2 linked regions of the Mus musculus genome follow. The main gene of each other region encodes a partner of the protein of the gene in region 2 in a complex. Links are inferred from orthologs where the notes say so. Each region holds a gene or a part of one and is shown on either strand. Other genes may lie near its edges.

What was found. The genes of interacting proteins can lie anywhere in the genome.
Region 1: the proteins of Aurka (region 2) and Tacc3 are in contact, whole or in part, in a crystal structure (PDB 5ODT), measured with the Homo sapiens proteins. The link is inferred for Mus musculus from reciprocal best matches to the Homo sapiens genes AURKA and TACC3. Residues at the interface, in NP_001310232.1 of Homo sapiens: Leu130, Phe133, Glu134, Ile135, Gly136, Arg137, Tyr148, Leu149, Ala150, Arg151, Ile158, Val163, Arg205, Tyr207; in NP_001428248.1 of Homo sapiens: Glu523, Ser524, Phe525, Arg526, Pro528, Val531, Leu532, Gly533.

What each region holds. Positions count from the first base shown.
Region 1 is NC_000071.6:33,661,128-33,664,627, reverse strand, and holds part of Tacc3 (transforming acidic coiled-coil-containing protein 3), read right to left. Parts: intron 3,407-3,500; 5' UTR 3,406-3,406; coding exon 3,244-3,405; intron 3,108-3,243; coding exon 2,983-3,107; intron 808-2,982; coding exon 726-807; intron 362-725; coding exon 1-361. UniProt on the Homo sapiens protein: Plays a role in the microtubule-dependent coupling of the nucleus and the centrosome. Involved in the processes that regulate centrosome-mediated interkinetic nuclear migration (INM) of neural progenitors.
Region 2 is NC_000068.7:172,367,640-172,372,147, forward strand, and holds the start of Aurka (aurora kinase A), read right to left. Parts: upstream 2,932-4,508; 5' UTR 2,834-2,931; exon of another isoform or gene 2,817-2,833; coding exon of another isoform or gene 2,756-2,816; intron 1,394-2,755; coding exon of another isoform or gene 1,389-1,393; coding exon 1,347-1,388; intron 1-1,346. UniProt on the Homo sapiens protein: Mitotic serine/threonine kinase that contributes to the regulation of cell cycle progression.

The DNA.
Region 1 (3,500 bases), on a different chromosome or scaffold from region 2:
TAGGAGGGGTCACCAGCTCACTTTCTAAGACAGGTTCTAGTCCCTGATGGGAAGGCTCCAGCACTGGCTCAATAGGAGGGGTCACCAGCTCACTGTCCAAGACAGGTTCTAGTCCCTGATGGGAAGGCTCCAGCACTGGCTCAATAGGAGGGGTCACCAGCTCACTTTCCAAGACAGGTTCTAGTTCCTGATGGGAAGGCTCCAGCACTGGCTCAACAGGAGGGGTCACCAGCTCACTTTCCAAGACAGGTTCTAGTCCCTGATGGGAAGGCTCCAGCACTGGCTCGATAGGAGGGGTCACCAGCTCACTGTCCAGAAGACTTGTGGAAGCTGAAAGGCTTGAGGAAGTCAAGATTCCCTCCTAGAGAGAAAGTCATCATCACCTTGTAGAGTGAGGTTCTGGGTGAGGGAGAGCCCCACCACTCTCTCCTTAAAATAAACCCAGACAGTGAGGCAGCTCTAGGGGATGGCGGTAGTGTTATATCCCACCCTGTTACTAGAAGACAGCTGGTGGCCTCTTCTACTATGTTATTTTTCTGAGACAAGGTCTCACTCTGAAGCCCTAGAATTCACTATAGACTGGGCTGGCCTAGAACTCAGAATCTGCCTGCCTTTGCGCTCCAAGTGCTAGGATTAAGAGTATGCACCACTATACCTCAATACCCTGTTATTTTTCTATACAATATGTAATAATATTGACAGCGCCTAACCATGTACACACATACCTGTAACTCGCCTTCTGCTCTTAGGATCTCAGCTGCCATTTGAACCACAGGTGCATCATCCACTGGGGCTAAAGGCCGCTGGCTGGAGAGACAGAGTTGTCAGAGCTGGGTCTTCCCTGTGTGCCCTGCTCTGGCACTGAACTCTGTTACCTCCCTCTTATGCTGATTCACCTGAAAAACTGCTCATGTTGAGAAGGTACATGAAAATTATGATGTTTCTCTGGAGGTAAGAGTACCTGGCTGCTGGAATGCTAGCATAGTTTCAGGTCACAGCTGCTTCTTGGAGTACCTAAGGACAATGGCTTGCTGTGGTACCAGCCAGTTTTCACCTGATTGGTAGCGTATGTTTTTTTGTTGTTTATTTATTTATTTATTTTTTATTTACTTATTTTTTAAAAATATTTATTTATTATATGTAAGTACACTGTAGCTGTCTTCAGACACTCCAGAAGAGGGAGTCAGATCTCATTATAGATGGTTGTGAGCCACCATGTGGTTGCTGGGATTTGAACTCTGGACCTTTGGAAGAGCAGTCGGGTGCTCTTACCTAGTGAGCCATCTCACCAGCCCTGTTATTTATTTTTTTATTTTTAGTTTTTAAAGAAATGCTCTTACTACATAGAGAAATCTGGCTTCAAATTCTTTTTTTTTTTTTTTTTTTGGTTTTTTCGAGACAGGGTTTCTCTGTGTATCCCTGGCTGTCCTGGAACTCACTTTGTAGACCAGGCTGGCCTCGAACTCAGAAATCCCCCTGCCTCTGCCTCCCGAGTGCTGGGATTAAAGGCGTGTGCCACGTGTGCTTGGCTTCAAATTCTTGATCTGACTTCCTCAGCCACAATGCTAGGATTACTGGGGAACTACCTGCACTCATTTTACTGTTAGTAAGGTGCACATATGCTGTGAACAACTCTAGAGTGCCTCTCCCATGGTCTTGGGACAGGGATTCTGAAGCTGTGCCTCGTTTGGACTAACCTGAGATCTGTTTGTCCTGAAGTTTGAAGTAAAGTAGAATGCTGGCTACATAAACAAGTGGCATTTAGGTTCCAGATCACACACACATTAAGAAGCTGCTCTTGGGATGACAGTGTTCCCCTTTTCTGCGTACTGGCTTGGGGAGTTTGATCTAGATACTGAGGATGGAACTCAAGCCCTCACGTTTGTATAGCCAACAGTACCAAAGGAGCCATCTCCCAAGCCCTGACTCATCATTCATATGATAATTTCTGTTTATGAGTCTATCTGCTCTCTCCAAGTTTTGAGCACAGGAAGCCAAATGCTAATTTTTGTTTGTTTGTTTTGTTTTATTTGGTTTTTTGAGACAGGGTTTCTCTGTATAGCTCTGGCTATATAGAGAACTCATTTTGTAGACCAGGCTGGCCTCGAACTCAGAAATCCGCCTGCCTCTGTCTCCCGAGTGCTGGGATTAAAGGTGTCCACCACCACTTGGTGCCAAACGCTAATCTTAAGCAGAAGGGAGAGATAAGCAAACTCAATAGGAAGGAAACTATAGGTAATCTTGTCTGGAAATAAGATCTAATCATTCTATCAAGTCATAGAAATAAAGAATAGGTGGTAGGCACTGTGGGTTGTCCTGGTGCTGTTTATATTCTGATGGTAATTCTGCTTCCTCAAGAGGGGCTGCCCTCGACAAGCAGCCCATTATGTACTCAGGTGATTTCATGTGAACCGTCTCCCATTTTAACTAGTCAATAAAGGCTAGAGCCTGCGACTGGACAATGGAGGGGAAAGATGGGACTGGAGGTTTGAAAGTGGGGATAGGGTGAGAGAGGGAGGGAGGGAGGGAGGGGGGAGAGAGAGAGAGAGAGAGAGAGAGAGAGAGAAGAGAGAAGAGGAGAGGATGAGAGGGGAAGGAGAAAAGATGGAACAGGAGGAGGAAGAAGCCATGTTGGGCCAGGAGGAACTGTAAGTAACAAGGGATCTTATAGCTGGAGAAGAAGTTTGTATAGTGTTAGATCTGCCCAATCTAGGCTTACAGCTTACAATGATAATAACTGGATTGGGTAGTTTTTATATGGGCTTTGGGGTTAGGTAGGAACATAGCAAAAGAGTAAAGGATGGAATTAAAACAGTTCAACTAGCTGATGATTAACTCTCAACTGACAACCGTGCCAGATACTACACTTAAGGACAGTGATCAAGAGAAGAAAGTCTAGATAGGACAGGACTGGAAGATTTTGCAACAACCCTCAGAGAGGACAGACAGTACTGAAGAACAGTGAAAGGCATCCACACTTACTTTTCTTTCTGTAAGAAGACACAGTGGTCATTTTGTAATCCAAAAGGAGCCTCACGCTTATTGGTCATGTTAGGACTTAAGATCCTGTGTGTCTGTGGATCCCGAGGTGGTGTCTGGAACGTCACCTAGTGAAAGTCGAGGAGAGTGCATATGCTCCATGATACACGCCCTCACAAGCAAGCCAACCTGCTACAGTGCAAGGCTCTCAGAAAGCCAGTCCCAGAGTACCTGAGGAGCATACACAGTACAGTCCGCACTTACATTTGTGGCCTTAGCCTGGCTCTGGGGTGGTACATTTTCTTTCTGTGACAGACAAAGAACAGATGATCTGCCGGTAAGTTCTGGTGGCAAAAACTGGAAATCACGGCACTGTGAACTCTTTTCATTGGGCACGTTTTCGTCATTTAAGACATGCAGACTCATTCTGGGAAAACAGTATGTTTTAGTCACTAGGAAGTCAATGATGCTGCAGCGTATGTACAGAAATGCCCCGTGAGCATAGCAGGGAGATGTTCTAT
Region 2 (4,508 bases):
GGCACTCCACACCTGTGATCCAGTACTGAGGCTGAGGCAGGAGGGGCACTGACTGAGTTCTAGGCCAGCCTCTGCGCCTGAGGCAAACTTTATTGTTACTGAAAGTTTATATCAAATCCTTGCAGCAATTTTACGTTTAGGAGAAAAGACGATAGAATCATCCTCAAGCAATTTTGAAAAAAAAAAAACAGTCTAAATCTAAGGTTATGCTGGGCTTCCAGGGCGTATTGCCGTTCTCTCAGATCATCCATCCCCTGGGTCTTTCTATCACAGCACTTATTTGACCACGTCTCACTGTGTAATCCTGGCCAGTCCCAGACTCACAATATAGAACAGCCTGGCCTCTATCTCAGTCTGCCCACTACTGACTCCTAAATACTGGGATTAGAGGTGTGCCCACCAAGCCCCACCCAACAGAAATATTTTTTAAGAATGTTATCTCCAAAACTAAAATGCATAGAAATTATGTTTTTCAATAGGAAAAAAAGGACAAAGAAGACCACGGAGGCCTTGAAAACAATCACTACTGCACGGGATGATCTGTGTTGTGTCAGTCTTAACGAGATCTTAAGACTAAACTAATCACACTCAGAGACGCTGGCACTCCCTCCTCCTTAAATGAGGCGCTCAGGATCCACCATGAGCTCAGAGGGTCTGAGGTTTCCACAGCAGAGCCATTTCCTGAAGAAACAGAGGCTCAGGTAGCCTCCAGGCAGGGTCAACCTAAAGTTTCTACCCAAAGCCACGGAGGAAAGGATTCGATTCCACGAGCACTGTACAGATTTGCTCAGGGACTAAGGTCTTTTACAGCCAAGCCTAAGGACCTGGGTTAGGGTCTCTGGACCCACTCTGACAAGTTGCTCTCTGACCTACACAGTGGCATATGCATAGGTGCACACAAACAAAATGCACATCATTTAAAAAATACCGATTGTGGGGGCTGGAGAGATGGCTCAGCGATGAAGAGTACTGGCTACTCTTCCAGAGGTCCTGAGTTCAATTCCCAGCAACCACATGGTGGCTTATAACCATCTGTAATGCCCTCTTCTAGTGTGCATGAAGACACATTCATAGTCATAAAATAAGCAAAGAAATCTTTTGTTTGTTTTCGTTTTGGGTTTGCTTTTTGTTTTGTTTTGTTTTTAGTTTTTTTCAAGACAGAGTTTCTCTGTGTAGCCCTGGCTGTCCTGGAACTCACTCTGTAGACCAGACTGGCCTCAAACTCAGAAATCCGCCTGCCTCTGCCTCCTTGCATCCCCAGTGTTGGGATTAAAGGCATGCGCCACCACGCCCGGCAGAAATAAATCTTTTAAAAGCCGAAATTGTAAATACAGGTAATTCTGTACCTTAACAGGCCTGGAGACACAGTTTTCTTTACATCTGTCCATGTCACCTGAAAAAGGAAACAAGAGCCTTTCTTTTAGGAGGAGTCCAAGTCCTTCACCTTCGGATCTACACCAAATGACCTTGATGGTTCTCACTCAGCTCAAAGATTTACTACAAGAAAGTTGCACATGCCACAGGGTTCCCCTTTTCAGATCAGGGAAGCTAGGCAGGAGGCAGAAGCCCTGAGCAAAGGACTGCAGTTGCAGCTACCTCACACTCCTGGGCCCCAGACCAAGGTTAATAACCAGCCCTGCAGTTTAGCTTTCCCATAATAGCTACACCAGGGTCTTATCCCTAAGAGGTTTCTATTTCCTGTATTTGCAGTGGAGCCAGGATTTGTTTGTTAGGTTTGGATTTTTTTTTTGAGACAGGGTCTCCCTGGGTAGTCCTGGCTGTTCTGGAACTCATTATGTAGGTAGACCAAGCTGGCCTTGAACTCACCGAGTTCCTCCCTCTGCCTCCAAAAGGCTGGGATTAAAAGAATGCAAGACCACACCTAACCTTTATGTTTGTGGTAGAGACAAGAGTTCCATGGATCCCAGGCTGGCCTTGAGCATGCTATACGGTGGAGGATTACTCTGAACTCCTGATCCTCCCGCCTGCAGTTCCGCAGTGCTAGGACCACAGAGGTCATCACCATCCTCGGGGTTCCAAGTGCTGGGAATGGAATCCAGGGCTGGCTAGGCAAGCACCCTACTAACTGAACTACATCCCCAGACAGGCTCTCACTTATTAGCTGTGGCTGGCCTTAAATCGAAGGCTAACCTCCTGCCTCAGACTGCTGATGTAAGCAACCACACATTTAGGTGTGTGTGTGTGTGTGTGTGTGTGTGTGTGTGTGTGTGTGGTGGGGATGGAGGTGTTGAGGTAGGGACGTATGTGGATGTAATTTAGGCTGGTTTTTCGGACCTACTGTGTAGCTGAGGATGACCTTTGACTTGATCCTGCCTCCACCACCTTACTGTTGGAATAAACAGCGGCGGCCACCACGAAGGCAGTGTTCAATCCTAAAACTTCTGGAATATTCTACAAACTGAGCTTTAGCGGGTCTGCGCTTTGAAACAGACCCTCAAGTAGTCCCGACATAAACTGCTCAGAAGGCTGCGGGAAGAGCAGCACCAGTCCTGGGCACTCTACGAGGGAACTCCCGTTCATCCACAGACTCGTCGAGTCGACTTAGACTCTGATTCTCCACCCGAAGCAGTCCCCAATAAGCCGCAGTTCCCGCATCCACCATCGGTTTGCAAATTACTCGGTTAGCTGATGGTCTGGATCCCCATTCCCACAAGAACCTAAAACCAAGCCGGGAAATCTTAAACGTCTGGACCTTTCTTAAACAGAATGCAAACCCACTGAGACAGTCCATTACCCCGACGCCACACAGCCTTCCCTATCCGTTTGCAGCATCCAGGCTCGCCCTCAACAGCCATGTCCCTTTCCAACTCACAGGCAGGAACCTGCTCCCGACCGAAGCCTCCAAGCGATCCCGGTAGCTCAGCCGTTACAATTCAAAGGTTCTCCTTTTAAAATAGGAGTCAAACCCTCTACTCCAAGAGCTGATTGGCTAGAGCCGGAGCAATGCCGTTCTGTGATTGGCTCACCGTAAACGCGACTATGGGAAGCTCGTTCCCTGCCGTAGCTGGGCGCAGGCGCACTGAGCTGTCGGAGCCCGGAAGTGGTGCACCAACGGCCCGTCCGATCTGCGGCCGTTCTATCGCCCGCCGTGCTCCCCAGGATCAGGCGTTCGCCAGTCACACACAGCCCTTTGGATTCAAGGCAGTCGCGGAGGTGATTAGTTCGGAGACGGTGAATGAGCGTCTCGAACGTGCCAGTGAGTAAGATGGCGAGAAGGGCAGACTTGCGAGGGAGCAGGGATGCTCGGCGCTCGGCTGCATGCCCTTTGCACGTGCGCACTGGGTGTGCACTCCGAGCGATCGATCGGGCACGATTCGCTCCTCCATTTTTCTAGAAGAGAGCGGGAGACCGAGACCCTGATCTGCGGGTACGGGGTCAAGGGGGCGTAAGGAAGCGGGCTAGTGTGGTTGGCTAGGGTCTGTAGTGGATCACGTGAAGGACCGGGGCTAACGGAGAGGATGGCAGGAGGCCGCTCGCCCCAAGTCCGTGTCCTAGAGTTGGCCGGCCCGGCCTGCACCCCGGCTCTCAAAGGGCCTCGGTCCCGGTGGGTCCAAGCCGGAATTCCGCCCTGAGCAGAAGTGGTCGCGCGGCTTCGCTTTGGGCCCCCTGCATTCCCCGGTGTTAGCTTTCCGGGGGCGAGCTCCTCCGGTCTCGTGCCTCGGTGTCCCCTCCGGGAAGGATATAAGTTATCTGTGTCCCATTGGAAGTTAAGCGGGGAGTTAAGTAAAGGCTCAACCTCCTTCTCCCACCCCCGTTTTCTTTAAATGTCGTGATACAACCCCAGATGTTTCCTGACAGGAGTAAAGATGATAGGTCAAATGGTTAAGTTCTGGGCTCTGGAGTGTGCAGGCTCCCCCTCAACTTTGAGGGGAAGGGGAGGGCTTAACTTGAACGGGTGCCCTAGATTCTTAGAACACATTTCACCCTCTGTTGTGTCCCAATATCTTATGCAGGGGTAGATTTGTATTCATTTCTTTCTTTTTAAAAAAAAACTTATTTAGCTTTATTTTACATGCATTGGTGTCTAGGTGGCAGGCCCCTTGGAACTGGAGTTAGAGACAGTTGTAAGCCGCCATGGGAATTGAACCCAGGTCCTTTGGAAGAGCAGACAGTGCTCTTAACCACTGAGCCATCTTTCCAGCCCCCATTTCTTTCTAATGAACACGAATATATTGAATAGCTTCGTTTAGTGATTGGATGCTAATTAGGTGCTTGGCACCGCATCTGCCAGTAGGACCTGCATGGTGTTATTATTGTTAAGAACTCTGGTCAGTACTATGCTGTGTGGCCTTGCTAGTCATTTGGTTTAAAACTGAGCCCGGGGTGTCTGTCAGCAAGCATTGTAACTCTTGGCTGTTTCTCCAGGCTACCTTCTTGCTTGATGTCTCCAGACTCCTATAGTCAAACATCTAACCACACACATACTTATCAAATTACCCACCCAGGTTGATTAAGAAATCAGTTTTGTTTGGAGAGCTTAGATCTTA